Xenopus tropicalis: one gene and its partner. The protein of the gene in region 2 purifies or fractionates together with the protein of the main gene of each other region. This does not show direct contact. Links are inferred from orthologs where the notes say so. Each region holds a gene or a part of one and is shown on either strand. Other genes may lie near its edges.

Region 1 (8,022 bases), on a different chromosome or scaffold from region 2:
ATATATATATATATATAAAATTAAATTAGTAATCGGCACTGCTGTATCCAATATTATGACAAATGCCATATCACTTTCTCTTAATGTTTTGATAGTTTCCCCTTTGCTTAGCTTCTTACCACCAGCGCAGAGCACCCTGAGCACGTGCAGTGTCACTGACCCTTAAAAAATTGCCTCACAAATCCAAGTTTACTTACTTTCTGCTTCAGTTGTGATAATTTTTGACTGCTCCCCAAGCTTAACTTTTTCAACAGCTGTACACTGAGTGTCTATAGTACAAAAGCGATGCTTTATGTTTGCTATTTTTTACAAACATTAATAAAAACTTCAAAAAAAGTGTCCTCCAATCAAGTTACTATGTTTGAGCAAAAGCATTTTCCAGATATAAACAATATCTTTCATTTAGTAAAAAAGAAAAGCTATACAAATCATCCATGGTTTGTAAGAGTAATGTCCACTTTAAGGGGCACCTAAGCATAAAATTGATATTTCAGTCAGTGCCGGATATAAACAATCTTTCCATCATTAAAAAAATTTCAGTACAGCTTTTGATCAGGTGACCCCTCAGTAGTTGTAATACAAACCAGTACAAGCAGAAATTATTTTCAGTAGGAATTTTATTTACAAATACCTTAAAAAAAACACTCAAAAAATTTGATTTGATTAACATATATGAAAAAGTTGCCTAGAATTACATATTGGCTCCTTGATGCAGTCCTTGGACCGACAGGCAGTATACCCACCATTTTCATTTAAACTTTTTGGCTATAGAGCCAAACTGTCAAATTATCCTGGTATTGTTCACCCGTAGGTGGGCATATCGGGAGACATGCCCAATTTGGCAACCTCACTGAATGAGTGGATTGGACCGTGTGTGACACAGGATGTTGCAGGTTTTTCATGGGGAACAGGGGCAAGTGATTAAGGTTAAATTGATCACTACAATTGTTCCTGAGAGCACCCTGTTAATCAATTTAGATAAGGGCCACTGATCCATACTCGTACACACAAAGGAGAAAGGAGGTGTAATGAAATATATTCAGTTATACAATTAGACTAATATATATATATATATATATATATAGGTAAAAAGTGTCGACACTCACAGGGTTTGCATAAAATACTCACAGACAGCAAGTCATAGCCAGATGCAATAAGGTGAGGTTTATTAGTCCAAGGTTTCGGTTCCTTACTAGAACCTTCGTCAGGGAAACAAGTGTGTGCAAAGAGCAGGATTTAAATACAGTATTTGGCGCCAAAGAGCGTGTTGCTCTTTGGGCGCCAAATATACAGTATTTTTGCAAATATTTTGTTGCCGTCGTAACTTTTTCGTATATTTTTGGTGACTTTTTTGTCGCCATAGCGAAAAAATCGTATTGTTGTGCCGAGTATGAAAGTTTTGGATTGATTCAAGCTTCAGTATCGTGAATTTCCTTGGGCCAGGTTGGAGCTGCAGAGTGCCATTTATTCCTCTGTGAGGCTTCCAAAATCATGCAAAGTCGGAAAGGTTTTTCCGCAGTTTACGATCGTTCAATACGATAAAGTCGCAACGATGACGAAATAGTCGCGCAAAATACGATAAAGTTGCAACGGCGACGAAAAAGTCGCAAAATTTTCGTTTCCAATCCGAATTTTTGCTATTTGGGATTCGAATTCGTGCTTTGGTAAATCTGCCCTATAGTCTAGTCATTAGATCACCTGGCCAAATGAGCTGATCTTAACCTAAATTGCTTGCTCTAATGCGAAACTAAATAACTTTTTATTCTCTCTTTGGCACTTAGGGCCCTGGTGAGGCACAGAGTCGCCCTCTTGTAGGTGGGTATCTTTTATCTGTGTCCACAGTCGATTTCAGGATTTGTGAGTGATTTATTGTTTGTTTGCATTTTAGAGATATCTGGGTGCTGTATAACACCAGTTACTGACAGCCAGAAGCCCAGGTGAGTCTAACAAAAAATTAATGGTGTTAGATACACTTTATTTCAGATATTTTTCTCCTATTTTCCTTTCTTATTTTTGTTTACTCCTCAGAGTATCTAGCTCTGTTCTGAGCCAAGTGCGATTCTACAGAACCTCTCTTGTTTACCGTGAGTGAGCACAATTGTAGTCTGGGGGGTGCAGTTTACTCCATTGTTTTTGCTGCAGTCCAAATAATATATGTTTTCTTATATGCTTATTTGTCTTTTTAACTGTTTCCACGCTGATGTGTAGGGCAGGATGTGGTTACTGTCAATACTCCAGCATTTGCAGAGTCTGTAACGGAAGGAGATGTCAGGTGGGAAAAGGGTAAGTATGGTGTTATACCTCCACCTAAGCAATGGAAAACGCTGATCATTTCCAGTCCTGCCTATTTACATAAATGACTATAGACCAGTAGTCTGTATGAGAATGTTAATAGGGTGGTTCATCTACAATGTGTCACTTAAGTTGGCCATACACGTGGCGATCTGACGATGTTTGGTCGCACGAAACATCGTCAGATCCGCCACACACCATTCAGGGCTGAATCGGCAGGTAAGGAGGTAGAAACAATAGGATTTCTACCTCCTTCTGCCGATTCAGCGCTGAAGGGAGATTTTGGTCAGGCGCCGATCGGCGAGTCGCCCGATATTAGCAGCTTCCTGCAATATCGGTCGACTCACCAACATACCATACACGCACCGAATATCGTACGAAACAAGGTTTCGTTTGGTGTGTTTGCTACAGTAACACTACTATAATTTATATAATAAGCTGCTGTGTAGCCACGGGGGCAGCCATTCAAGCTGGAAAAAAGGAGAAAAGGCACAGGTTACATAGCAGATAACAGATAAGCTCTGTGGAATACAATAGTGTTTTATCTGTTATCTGCTATGTGCCTGTGCCTTTTCTCCATTGAATGGCTGCCTCCATGGCTACATAGCAGCTTATTTATGTAAATTATAGTAGACTTTCTGAAGTAAACACACAACTTTTACCAGTGCAGGGCAGCAGCACATTATATTTTAGTTACTTTTATACACTTTCATTTTTTGGTGTTACTGTTCCTTTAAGGAAATAAAATAGTGTTTATCTGTTTGAAACCTGCCATGTAGTGCTGTTGTACTGCAAAATGGCCAGTACTGCTTTTAACTAACTTTTGGACCGGTTCTGATGCAGCTATTTGCCTAAACCTTTGTGTTTTGTGCCACTATTGATAATTCTATGTTGTATCTTGCAGCTGTTGGTGACACAGTCTCTGAGGATGAAGTGGTGTGTGAGATTGAAACTGATAAGGTTTGTGTGCAAATTACAACAAATGTGTGTGTGTATATATATATATATATATATATATATATATATATATTATTTATTTATTTATTTTCAAACAACCTAACATTTTATATGAAACCCTGTACTCTTAGACCTCAGTTCAGGTACCATCCCCATCTGCAGGGGTAATTGAGGCTCTTCTTGTCCCCGATGGAGGAAAAGTTGAAGGAGGAACACCACTATTTGTGCTGAAAAAGTCTGGAGGTATGTGAATTATCGGTCACTCAGCGAAGCTGATGAGATGGTCACGAAAAGAAAAAAAGAGCTAAATATATGCTTCAGATGCACGTGATGTTGGGTGAGGCTGTAAGGAATTATACACTCCAGCACTCGGTCTGTCACTCACCTGGTACACACAGATCTAGCTAGTGCAATTGCACCCCTAAGACAGCCCTAATACCTACAAAAGTTCACTGCCACCACACATAGTTACTTCAGGCTGTGTGAAATTGGCAACTCATACCTATCAACACTGTATGACAGCAGTCAGAGGTTTAGCTTCTAGTGATTCACAAAGCACTCCAGCAGAAAACTTTCAGAAAACTTTCTTTCAGCAGTCAAATGGTTAAGTAGCATATTCGTGAACAAACTATTACTTTCAGCACACTGAGAGTTAAGGTATGCTTTCATACAGGCTATGAGTTTGTTTAGAGCATTAAGAACAAACTTATAAAATTTTAACCTTTAATGTAAAAAAATTAGATATTACATAGGGACGTAGTAATAGAAAGTTATAAGTTACAAAATGTAAATAAAATCACATGCATTACTGGCTAGAAATTCCCTTTGTGTCTCCTGAAGCAAAAAATCTGCATGCAGTCTAACATTTGGATCCTCAGATTGCTTACTAAATACCATGAGATTGGGTCTGCTTTATGTTTTCATACTTGGACATGTCCTCTTGTTAAAGGGTAGGAATGCACAGGATCAAGTCATTTATACTCGTGGTTCCAGGCCAGTTTCTGCAATACTTTAATGGTACTTATCAGTACCAAATATCAGCAAAATATTGTCATGCTGTATATTGTGTAGGTGGGCAGTCAGAATGGTACCTAACATGAGGGGTTTCTGATAATCAAGCCCCTCAGAACCCTTCCCTGATGGGTATAAGATGGCCCTGGTGGGTATCATTTATAATCATGTGGCCTCATAATCAGCATGTGAAACTTAAGTCAGAGGGTATATTGATCCATTTTTGTAATCTATGTGATGTCCCGTAACTCTTTCCTTAGATCATTAGTTCGAAAGGAAACCAACTGGAAAAATGACCTGGACCTGACCAGTCTGGCCACCTAATTACACAGCCCCATGCTAGAATCTCTTATCGAGTCTCCTATGGTGTTATGTAATAAAAGGCACTAAGTGCCCAGGAGCAGTAAGTAACCCATTGTAACCATTCAGTAGGTAGCATTACTGGTCACCTGTTTAAAACCAAACACTGTTTTGGATGCTGTGGGTTTTTGTTCCTGGGCAAACATAGTGCCCTTTATTACTTATGGGGTTTGTGTCTTGAGACCAAATGTTCTTATGTTTACCCTTACAATGCTAGAGCTACTTACTACTGCTCTTGCATGACAATGCATACACAAAAAATGTGTCTTAAATGGCACAAGGTTCATTGGTTTGTTGGGGGTGTAATAATAATGTGTATGTTTGCTTGATTTTCTTTTTTCTCCACACTTTAAAAAGCTGCTCCTTCTAAGGCCAAACCAGCTGAGACTGTGGCAACTCCACCTACCCAAGCACCCAAACCACCTACACCTTCTGACCCCTCATCTGGGCCCATTCCTACTGTCATCCCACCGGTGCCTCCTGTATCTGCACAGCCTTTGGAGACCAAACCTGGTAATGGGGGGCAGGGTACATTCTGTTTTATCTAAACTGCAAATGCAGTAGTTTTGCAGACATATGTTATAGAATTTGTGTCTTTAGGGATCTAGTTATATTGAAGATGATTATATATGTTCACTGATGTGTTAAAGAAGAGATTTGTGATTGGAAGGGAACATGTTTTATATAGATGCCATGTTATTTGGAGAAAGAATTGTTAGCTCAGTGTGGACATTTATAATTTATTTTATTATGCAGTGTCTGCAGTAAAGCCATCTTCTGCTTCTGTTATGGCTGATGCTACTCAGCCAGCAAGTGCACGATCAGAGCATAGGGTAAGTATGCAACTGTTACAGACTGGTTTATAAATCTTGTTTGGTTCTCCTGTATTGTGCTTCCAAATTGTTTTTAAACAGCATCTGCCTGTGTTAGTTCATACATGCCTGAGCAGATCCAATAAGGAACATTACAATAAATTACAATAATTGACTTTATGGAGTGCATATCTTTTCTTCATAATCTATATGGCAACTATCAAAAGACCATACTGAGACCTGCATGATAAGGCTATAATGTATATATTTATTCATCAGCCAGCTAATATACATGTGAGTGGGAACCAGGCTGTGTAAAAGGGCTGGCCAGGGTACTATGAGGTGGAAAACACTTGTTTGTTTTTGTCCTCCTGCAATGTAGTGTTACATAGTGTACCATTTCCTCCTAGTAGTATTTTATTTTGTGGGAAGCGGACAGTGTTTATCTAGTTCAGTAAGGCCTGTTTCCTTTGCACTCACGTTAAGGTCAAGATGAACCGAATGCGTCAGAGAATTGCACAGCGGCTGAAAGAAGCACAGAACACATGCGCCATGCTGACAACTTTCAATGAAGTTGATATGAGGTCTGTGTAATTGGTAGGGGAAGGGGAGAAGAAGAGAAGCACTGTATGTTAGTGTGTGTGTGTGTCAGGGGCTGTTCTGGTGTGTGAGGGGACCAAAGTGTGTAGGTGGAACATGTGATGTTGGTTGTTTTGAAGGAGCATAACCTATTTGTATAAGTACAACATTTTAGCTCATTGTTTTTGTAACTTCTTTCACAAGGATATCATCTGTTTTCTACCATTAACTTTTTCTATCTTATACATAGTAACATTCATCAGATGAGATCCATGCACAAAGACTCTTTCTTGAAGAAACATGGCTTGAAATTAGGATTCATGTCAGCCTTTGTTAAAGCTTCAGCCTTTGCCCTGCAGGATCAGCCAGCAGTCAATGGAGGTGAGATAATTTATGCCTTCTATTCTTGACATGGTCAGAAATCCTCATATTGGTACCCATTCTAATTGTCAGTGTGTGCATTATTATCCAGCAGTTTCAGGACCATAAAGGAGAACTAAATCGTACCCAAATAGGTAGCCCTTTAGCAGGGAAGATCTGTGTCTATAGATAGATGCCCCAATAGCTCTTGTTTTCTTCTGATTCACTGCACATGCTCTGTGCTGCTGTCAGTTACTGAGATTAAGGCTGATGCACAATATAGTGTATTTACAGAGTATAAATGTGGTGATATAAGGCTAATTAATAAATAATACAGATTGTTAGTAAATGGCATCTCTGAAACCAGTGCAGCTACAATAAGAATTTAATCAGTCCTGTAGCATCAGCCTCTATGACAGGCAAACCTAATTTTCTGCTTGATAATTTGTGACAACCCCTAAGCTTAGCTTCTCAGCAGCTGCTCGGAGTTCATTGAGCATGTGAGTGTCACTGACACTTCTAACAAGATCCAATGTGGGGAGCTCCTGTGACAACTTTGAAGACCTGGGTCATTACTGTTAGAGATGCTGACCCTCTAGGCTGATGTGATAAGTTCACTATATAATATATATAGCATTTCTCCTTTAAATCAGTCTTTCCACTTTGTAGTGCCAAACTTTATACAAGTTCACCTAGCTCTAAGGAATACTATAGCCTTGTCTTTTTTCAAATTAGGTCACTCTAAACATTTTGGTCCTGCACAGACCTTGTGATGATTACAAGGTTAGATCTTAAAATTGACTAGAATAACTACCACATTTTAAAATTCCATCCCATTACTCATGAATAGTTATCTCTAAACCCCATTCTGCTCTTTTTTATTGACAAGAATTATTGTGCTTAAATCTTCATGGCAAGCTTATGACACTGTTGAGTAAATATTTACTTGATCACTACCGTTTGTTTTTGGTAGAAGACCCTCGTACATAGCATATTTTGGATTATTTGAGAAATAAAACAGGGCCACTCTTTTGTTGTAGTGATCGATGATACAACCAAGGAGATTGTGTACAGAGACTATATAGACATCAGTGTGGCGGTGTCTACCCCCCGGGTAAGAACCTGCTCTGCAACCAAATATCGTTATTTATATTAATGGGGAGGCATTAATACATAGTAAGGGGAATGCTAGAGGGGTAACAGCTTACATGTATATGGAGATATAGCACTGTGTTTAATAGACATTTGTGAAAGCGCTTTATGGATATTGCAGTATTACAAGGCAAGTGCATTTCATAAAATTATTAATTTTTTAGGAAACCGTTCATCCTCCTAGTGATCTTGCTGCACCATTTATCTGAAATAAGAATTCCATTACTTAAAAATATACTCTTGCTACACAAGAGACAGCACTGTCCTGATCCATTCTCCGCATATTTAAGTAGTTTCTTTAGGAGGCATACACTTTTAGTTACTGTGTATTTGTTAGCACCAGGCATGTTTGAGGTGTTTACAGAGAATATGCAGGGGTGGGGGGGGGGGGGGGGGGGGGGGGGTTTGAGAGTAAGATCATAAAATTTAAAAGTAGATTAAAGAAGGTAGATGCCAGTATCTGTGCATGCATATTTGTATGGCATTCAATGTTAATTTC
Region 2 (8,022 bases):
ATCTCAATGGCTGCAGCAGGAGAACCATGTTTGTGGATTAGACAGCTGCCAGTTGTGTTGCCCAGACCAGTTCATGGTTCTTTAAATTGATATAGCCCAAGCATTTTCAGAAGGGGTCTAGCCATTACAGGGAACACTGTGTCCTTAACTGATTAAGATGTTGGTTGTACTATTAAAGCATATACTCCTAAGAGATTGGGAAGCAACCATGATGTGTTTGAAACAGCATAGCAGAAGCTAGCGCATTAACCGCTATGAAAAAGCATACAAGCCTGACTTCTGCTATGCTGTTTCAGGAGGTATATCCGGCAGTGCAGAAACTAGCAGACAGGTGCTGCTAATAATAGAAATAACATATACAGAACGTTTGAACCTCCCAGCATGTTTAATGAATATATATTGTACAAATTGCTGAGGATTCAGTTTTATTTTTTTTGTTAACATCCCCTTTAACCCTATCCAACTCATTGTACAAACTCCCTTTCTACAAAATGCTGATGAGTGGTGTAAGCAGCATGGTTCAGAGGTCATTTGTTTAGCTTTTCATTGGATAGTTTTGGCTGGGGTGGAGTAGAAGCAGACAGATCTGGAGACACCATTTCAGATGACCTGCAGAGAATCATTAAGTATTTGCAAGCATTCCATCCTGCTGCCCCCCCTTCCCCCCAAGACTGTAGCCAAGCAGTATGGCAGCTCATACTCATTTTATACAAAAATACATTGCAGGTAACACAACCATTTTAGATTGTAGATGTGGGATAAATGTTTAGACTCGGGAGGATTTGGGGGTCTGCTTGCAAGTTGACCATCATTGTCAGTGTATAGAGCGTATTGTACCCTGGGTTAGACCACTGTTACATTAACTTGTAGGCAGTACTATTGTGAGACAATATGCAGTTGGGCTTTTTTTTTTTTTTCTCTTTTATATTTAGCTTTTTTCCAGCAGCCCCCCAGCTGGGAATTTTGGCAGTTATCTGGTTGCAAGAGCCCAGTTTGTTGTTGTAGCCAGGCAGTTGTGTGAGAATGAATAGAAAGTTTAATAACAAATCTAATTTGTAGCCTCACAGAGCAAGACACTTTTTTTATTGATGGGTTAGTGACCCCATTTGAAAGCTTGAAGGAGACGAATGCTATACAAAAAAATTTAAAGGTTGCTGGGGATATGGCTTTCTATAGCCTACTCAGTTTACTTTGAAGGTAAACTTCCCCTTTAACCCTCTAATCCCCCAGGCAATTAATAGCTGCAGACATTTTATCCTCACAGCAAATGCCTACACTTATGGGTGCGGTTGATGATCCGATGCCTGTTGCTTAGAAATGTTAAGCCAACGGCGAGTGAGCCTTCTGTCCTGGCAACCAAAATCTTTATGCCGTGGCTCTCCGTGGGAAGGAGACGCACATGGTGGCATCATCCCTTCGTGGTAACTTAGTTTTGGGAATTCAGTGCCCAATTTTGTTGGTTCTTGGTGGTGAAGTTTTCTTGTAATATAGATTTATAGCTCCCTAAGCTTTTGTTGCCTTATGATCTAAGGGAGAGGGGTATTTCCTCATGATAGTATCCAAGTACTGGGGTAAGAATTACCTGCCTAATGTTACTCTGTGCCAGTGCCCAGCTTGCAGCCGGCTAGCAAGGTGCATCTGTTCAAAGAAGGGCTAAAACACTTGATGGGCCTGTATATTCACCCATATACATTGCTGGAACAGTCCAGGCATGAAAATCTTTAAATACCTGCTCACCGGGATGTGCCATTTGCATTGGAATAGTTACACTGACTTGCCCTTTGGGCTGAATGTAAGCCTAAAAATACTCTCCTACTGTGCTTCACTATAGTAAAGTGCGTGTTCCCTGGGTTGGGCCGTTGTGCGCTACTATAGGAGCCATTAGCAGAAGGTGTGGCAGGCTCTTGGAATAAATATACCCAACTGGTTTCATTACATAATTGCTGGCTACAAGGAGAAGAACTTGATCAACACCATTTCTTAAACTGGCCCCAAGGATCAGCCTTATTAACAATGTGTGGGGTGGGCTAGGTGGCTTTTTATGATGGTGGTTCTTACAGTGAATTGTAGGTTGGTCATTGTGGATCTGTACATAGTCCTGCGGTCTGTCCATCTGTGCTCACCCAGTGCAGCTCCAGATAATAGCACCTGCTCATTATTTCAGCTGACAGGAAATAATGCACTGTAATAGGAAGGGGTGTGGGGGTGAAATACACACCCCCTGTCATATCATTGGCTAATATAGCGTAGCATGCATGCCCTTGTGTCAGCACAGTGCATAATATGAGCCAGGGGGGCTACGGAACTGGCAAATATTAGTGATGAGTTTTCCTGTTTCGCTTTGCCAAAAAGTATGTGAAACTGCAAAATTACGCAAAACGCATGGAAGTTAATGGGCTTCTCTTTGCAGTTACCACAACTTTGTTTTCATGGCTATTAGAGTCTATGGGTGTTTTAAGGCAAAACGTTGTGAAATATTTCTCTTACCACTAGCACATTGTTAGCCTTTTCATAAAAATATTTTTCTATTAATACACAAGCCATGGATATGCTGTAAATGATATCCTTATAAATAGCCATTAGTGATGTCATCCATTATAATCAGTAATGTCATTTCTGTCACTGAGGACTTCTAATACCCTCAGAGTTTCATGACCTGTAGAAAAGCACTCTGCCTTCATGCCCATGCTTTTATATGGTCATGGAACTTTTTTTGTTTAATAGGGGGTACATTATTCACACTATATATAAATATATTTCTTCAAGAGAGGGTGTAATACACCCGCGTGTATGTTGAGGGGTATAGTTTCCCTTTGCATAAGACGGCAGTGGTGCTGCTCAGGGTTAGAAGTCACTCAGTCCTGGCTGGTTTGTACTGGAATTAATCCTACGTCATCTCTACCTGGCTGGGCTCCAGTGTGAGGCTGGAATGCCGTCTCACTCACAGGCCATTACGGCTATTAACTCCTCTCTGCTGGGATAGGACTGTACCACTGCACATTGTGTTTTCCCTCCACCGTTCTCTTTGGGTGATTTAACCTTTTAAGGTGCAGAGTTCTCTCTCAAAATAATATTTTTGAGGTATTTCTGCTTAATATTTCACATTAGGTTTCTTATCTTGCATTTGTCTGCACTCTAGGGATACCATAACATGATCTGTGTTATAACCAAGCCCCCTGGGTCAGTGTGGCAACCTAGCCTGGTAGAGGAAGAGTTAACAATGGCAGTCATGTGTGATGGAAAGACTGCAAAGGAGCGCCTAGGAATTGACATGGGAACTGATCCCAAACTCCGGCAGAGGACAGCCTGTCCCTTGTGCCTTAAAGTCACTTTATTATTGACAGAGCCGGTGGCACAATGAGTGGGAGCAGTGGCTAATACATACAAACCAGCCTGCTCCGCCTGAGGAAAGCCTATACCCCCATTAAATTTACAATATGCCCCGCTCTGCTGGCTCTCCTGGCCATCAGGACTGTAATTACTGTCAAACAAGATACCCTGACCCTCTCACATTCCCCCACTCACCCTTCTCATGACTCCCCGGCAGGCCTAAAATAGCAGCCATCCCCTGACCTTGTGGTTGGCCTATAAACTAGCACTCTAGCTAGCAGCCTTTTCTTTACTTTCTCTCTCCTCATGGGGCTTCCATGCCAGCATTGTGTACCCCAGTGCCATGGGGACCTAACGGAGAATGTTAGGAGTGCAATAGGTGCTGCCATAGTGCAAATATAGGCCTTACAGCTGTGTACATAACATATAGCGTGGTTGCCTTCTCTCCAGGGACTCTGTGTTCCAGTGCCAAAGGGAAATGCCTTGCTGACTGTATGAGAGTGCCAAATCCTTTATATCCATACCAAGCCCGATTGTGTGATGAAATAGCAAGAGAATTTACTGTGGTAATGCATACGTTTGCTTCTTTTCCCTTTTTAGTCATGGGACATCTTTTTCCGCAACGCAAATGCTGGCGCATCCCCTGGTGCAGCTTACCAGAGCCCGCCTCCTCTCGGCAGCAGCTTGTCCACCCTTACCCAGGCCCAGTCGTTGGTGCAGGCCCAACCTAATATAGACAAGCTTGTGGAGGATCATCTCGCTGTGCAGTCGCTCATCCGTGCTTATCAGGTACAGAGGATCCTATTGTGCCCAGCTTTATACACTTGCACTGAGTATCTCAGTCTTTGATTGATAGTTGCATTGCAGAAAAGAGGAAAAAATGTGCATTTTACTTTTGTTTTGTTCCCCCAAGCGTCTGTAAAGTTGCTGCACATTTCGCTTGCTGGAATCCGCCATTGCCTCTCTTGCCGAGTGGTCACAACTTTAAAGTCTCCCGTTTGTTCTAATCCCATTGCAGATTACAAGAAGTTAGCAGGGGGCATGGCCTAGCACCTCAGGGGTGTGGTTAGTTCAATGTAGCTTTTTCTTATATGACTTTCTTATAACTGTCGTGAAATACATCTCCCAGCATCCTCAGCCTGCAGCCGATGGCTAGGAGCTTGTAACAAAGAAGGCAACCAGTGGGTTTTCCAGGGGATTTTCATGGCACCACAGTTTGGGGGGGGGGGGGGGGGGCTGGAGGAAGTGTGGCCCATCTTTTTAACATGTTTTGTCATTGCTTCCAGGTGAGGGGTCATCACATTGCAAAGCTTGACCCGCTTGGAATTAGTTCTGTTAATTTTGATGGGGCTCCGGTGATAGTCGGATCTCCAAATATGGGTGAGAATCATTTTGTCAGACTTGTTGTAACTTTTTCTCTTTTTCCTGTGCTTTTTCCTCTTCTTGTTATCTTTACCTTTCTGTGTCCTCTTCACCCAACTGTCCCTTTCTGTGCTTTGCCACCTTTCCATCCTTTCTGCCTCTTCTCCTCCCCTGCCCCCCCCAACCTGCCTTCCCCTGTATCTGACTGCAACTCCCACTCCATGCTTATCTGCACCTGCTCCCAATCATCTTCCTACTGTTCCTACTGTCTATTTCAACCCCTCCCATGTCCTGTCCTTGGAACCTTGAATTCATATAGATCCGTGGGCACCATGTTGCTCAGCTTGACCCTCTTGGCATTCTGGATGCAGATCTGGACTCCTGTGTGCCAGCAGATATTGTCACTTCCTCAGACAAACTCGGTAAAGGCTAATGTGCTAGTGTCACTGCTTCTGCACCTCGCCATCACCACCCCTGTCTGTCTGACTACCCCCCCCCCCCTCCGCTCGCTAGAATACCAGCCACGAGATCACAACTAACAGCTGCGGGGTCTGTGTGCTGATCCTCTGGGGCCCCTATAGGTCCCGCACAGGACCCCTCTTGGCGTTTCAATAAGCAGGCCTTGTGTCACAGTAAAAGTAGCACTCATTATTGCTCTTCACTCCACTCTACTGTAGAGGTGACAATCATTGGCATCAAATAGTAAAAGGGAGGCAGATTCTACGATTTCATTGGTTTAGAACATGTGGGTTTATACTTCATGAAATCAATCTCTTCTGTTTCCATCTATAAACAAACATAGCCACATCATTTATAGAAAGGCCGGGCATAATATCAGCAGTACAACTCTTGAGACAGTGGAGAGGGTTTACATCCAGCAGAAAGGTGCTATAACCCCGGGACCCCTCCATCCTGTAGCTTGCCCCCCAAAATAAACAAGCTGTTAGTTTGACCTCTGTCTGTTGAAAGGGATTATAACTCTCAGGCTATCACGCTGCTGACAAGCTAGCACGACTAACCTAGACTAGTGCATCCAGTAACCAGCACTAACAGAATATTTGGGGCATAATGCATGTAGTGTGTGTATCCGGCTGGCGCCGTGTCTGCTTTGGGTGTAGGGCATGTTGGTTGGTGGCATGTCTGTGTGTGGTTTGTTTGTGAGTACAGGAAGCTGTACTGTTGGTGTATGTACATATGGCCACCAGGCATTTACTCTCATGTTTGCCAATTGTTCTGGAGATTGACTCTGTTCTGCAATGGACTGTGGACTGCTAGACAGTACTTGCCCTAGGTTAAGCTGTGAGGTGTTCCGGAGCTCTCCAGTATAACTTGTATGACTCCAGGTGCCACTCTTTCCATTGTGAGTTTCCATAAGTGACAACGCCACAGTTAGACTGTCGGTTCATTCTGGTCAGAACTGGCCTAGTACAGCTATCCCTCGGCTCATTCTGGTTAGAGCCAGGTTCCCTTCCTATAGTGCATTATTGCTGTCTGGAGCAGTGGATCCTACCTAGTTACCCTTCTGTGGCCCAGAGTGTGATGCACCCTCCTGAGTGGAAGCCACATTTTTCCAAGTGCCATCGGTATCCTTCATAGATCATAAAATAGTCATGTTGCCTTCCTTTCTCTCGTACAGTAGTTCTGCCATGCTTTATGGCACAATCTAGGATTATAACAGCATTTAGACCATGTTTGCATCGCTGCAGGATTCTGAGCCCTTATCTGGATTAATTAGTACAGTGACTGAGATCTAGAACGCTGTTCCCCCTTGAGCCGATATATTATAATTAGTGCAGTGCTGCCACTGCCAGCCCCTGTTATGTCATACGTTAACGGTAGTGAGTATTCGTTAGTGTCGGAAATATTTCCAAGCCTCCTGGCACCACTGTCTCCCCAATGTAATCCACACAATGATGCCCTGTAACCCATGTTGTGTTCCTGGAACCAGCAGGTAAGAACCTTGTGCTTGAGAGGTTATAGGGTGCACGGGACACTACAGCTGCTGCAGGGCTACACTGGCCAAACACATACTGATAACAACAGCACGTTGGGGGGGAATTATATATGTTATAAAAAAAAAAAATAGAATGGTGTCCATGTATTACCCCGCATACAGTATCCGGCCATTCAGTCTATGGGATAATGTATGTGATTGGGACCGTTTCAGCCCTCCGCATCATTTTTAAAAAAACGTTTGCCCCAGGTAATGCAGTTTTATACATTGTGTTCCGATCTTTAAAAAAAAATTATGGAATTTTGTTTTTTAGTGAAGGATTATTATCGTTTGGGGTGAATCCAAAAAATAGTTTTTGGCATCTTACTAACAGATTTATTTTGTGTACATATTGAGGGTTTTAGTTGTTGGTTACTATGAGCAGGCAGGATGAAGGCACTGACCTATAGTGAGCTCTGGTGCATGCTGCCTGCCCACAGCAGCACTCACGGCCAATAAGCAGTCAGAAGGATACACGCCTCACCTTCACTCAGTCACCACCCCATCTATCCACTCACATGCATAAACCCATACTGACCTATCTATACACTCACATACAGACCCATACTGACCTATCTATCCCCTCACATACAGACCCATACTGACCTATCTATCCACTCACATACAGACCCATACTGACCCATCTATCCACTCACATACAGACCCATACTGACCTATCTATCCACTCCCATACAGACCCATACTGACCTATCTATCCACTCCCATACAGACCCATACTGACCTATCTATTCACTCACATACAGACCCATACTGACCTATCTATCCACTCCCATACAGACCCACACTGACCTATCTATACACTCACATACAGACCCATACTGACTTATGTTGCTTACAAATAAGTTTCTTATGATGTTATGCTATAACTGCCCCCGTGGGCCTGGAATGACAAAATCGAGTCTAGGAGGAATTTGTCTCCATTTGACTATGGGAGGGTTTAGTCCACAAGCAGGAAATGGTTCAACAGATCCTAGTTGGATGTCGGTAAGTATCACAGTCACTTCATAAAGAGCTAAACCTTTGCATACAGGCACAGACATGGGATAACTGCACGTGTAATGTTTATCTGCCATTGAATTTCATGCACCCCCCCGCCTTCTTGTCATTTATATTAATGGAAGCCACTTGTCACTGGCTGTTTGTAAGGGGCCTGTGTTATCTGGTGCGTCTCTGTTGGCTAAAATACAGAGAAATTCTCCCTGTGCTATAAGCCTTAAATAAGGCTTCTGTGCAGGTCCTGCAGGAGCAGCATCTCAATTTCCTGATGCAGGAGGAGTCTTCTGGCGCTTCCCTGCTCAGTCATGCCATGTGACGCT

What was found. The genes of interacting proteins can lie anywhere in the genome.
Region 1: the proteins of ogdh (region 2) and dlst fractionate together in Homo sapiens (co-fractionation; 3 studies listed by BioGRID). This does not show direct contact. The link is inferred for Xenopus tropicalis from reciprocal best matches to the Homo sapiens genes OGDH and DLST.

Annotation. Positions count from the first base shown.
Region 1 is NC_030684.2:82,186,448-82,194,469, forward strand, and holds part of dlst (dihydrolipoyllysine-residue succinyltransferase component of 2-oxoglutarate dehydrogenase complex, mitochondrial), read left to right. Parts: intron 1-1,781; coding exon 1,782-1,815; intron 1,816-1,888; coding exon 1,889-1,937; intron 1,938-2,028; coding exon 2,029-2,084; intron 2,085-2,208; coding exon 2,209-2,283; intron 2,284-3,196; coding exon 3,197-3,252; intron 3,253-3,380; coding exon 3,381-3,492; intron 3,493-4,977; coding exon 4,978-5,133; intron 5,134-5,376; coding exon 5,377-5,453; intron 5,454-5,918; coding exon 5,919-6,016; intron 6,017-6,261; coding exon 6,262-6,392; intron 6,393-7,411; coding exon 7,412-7,485; intron 7,486-8,022. UniProt on the Homo sapiens protein: Dihydrolipoamide succinyltransferase (E2) component of the 2-oxoglutarate dehydrogenase complex. The 2-oxoglutarate dehydrogenase complex catalyzes the overall conversion of 2-oxoglutarate to succinyl-CoA and CO(2).
Region 2 is NC_030679.2:126,368,543-126,376,564, reverse strand, and holds part of ogdh (2-oxoglutarate dehydrogenase, mitochondrial), read left to right. Parts: intron 1-3,930; coding exon 3,931-4,119; intron 4,120-4,616; coding exon 4,617-4,710; intron 4,711-5,011; coding exon of another isoform or gene 5,012-5,114; intron 5,115-8,022. UniProt on the Homo sapiens protein: 2-oxoglutarate dehydrogenase (E1o) component of the 2-oxoglutarate dehydrogenase complex (OGDHC). Participates in the first step, rate limiting for the overall conversion of 2-oxoglutarate to succinyl-CoA and CO(2) catalyzed by the whole OGDHC.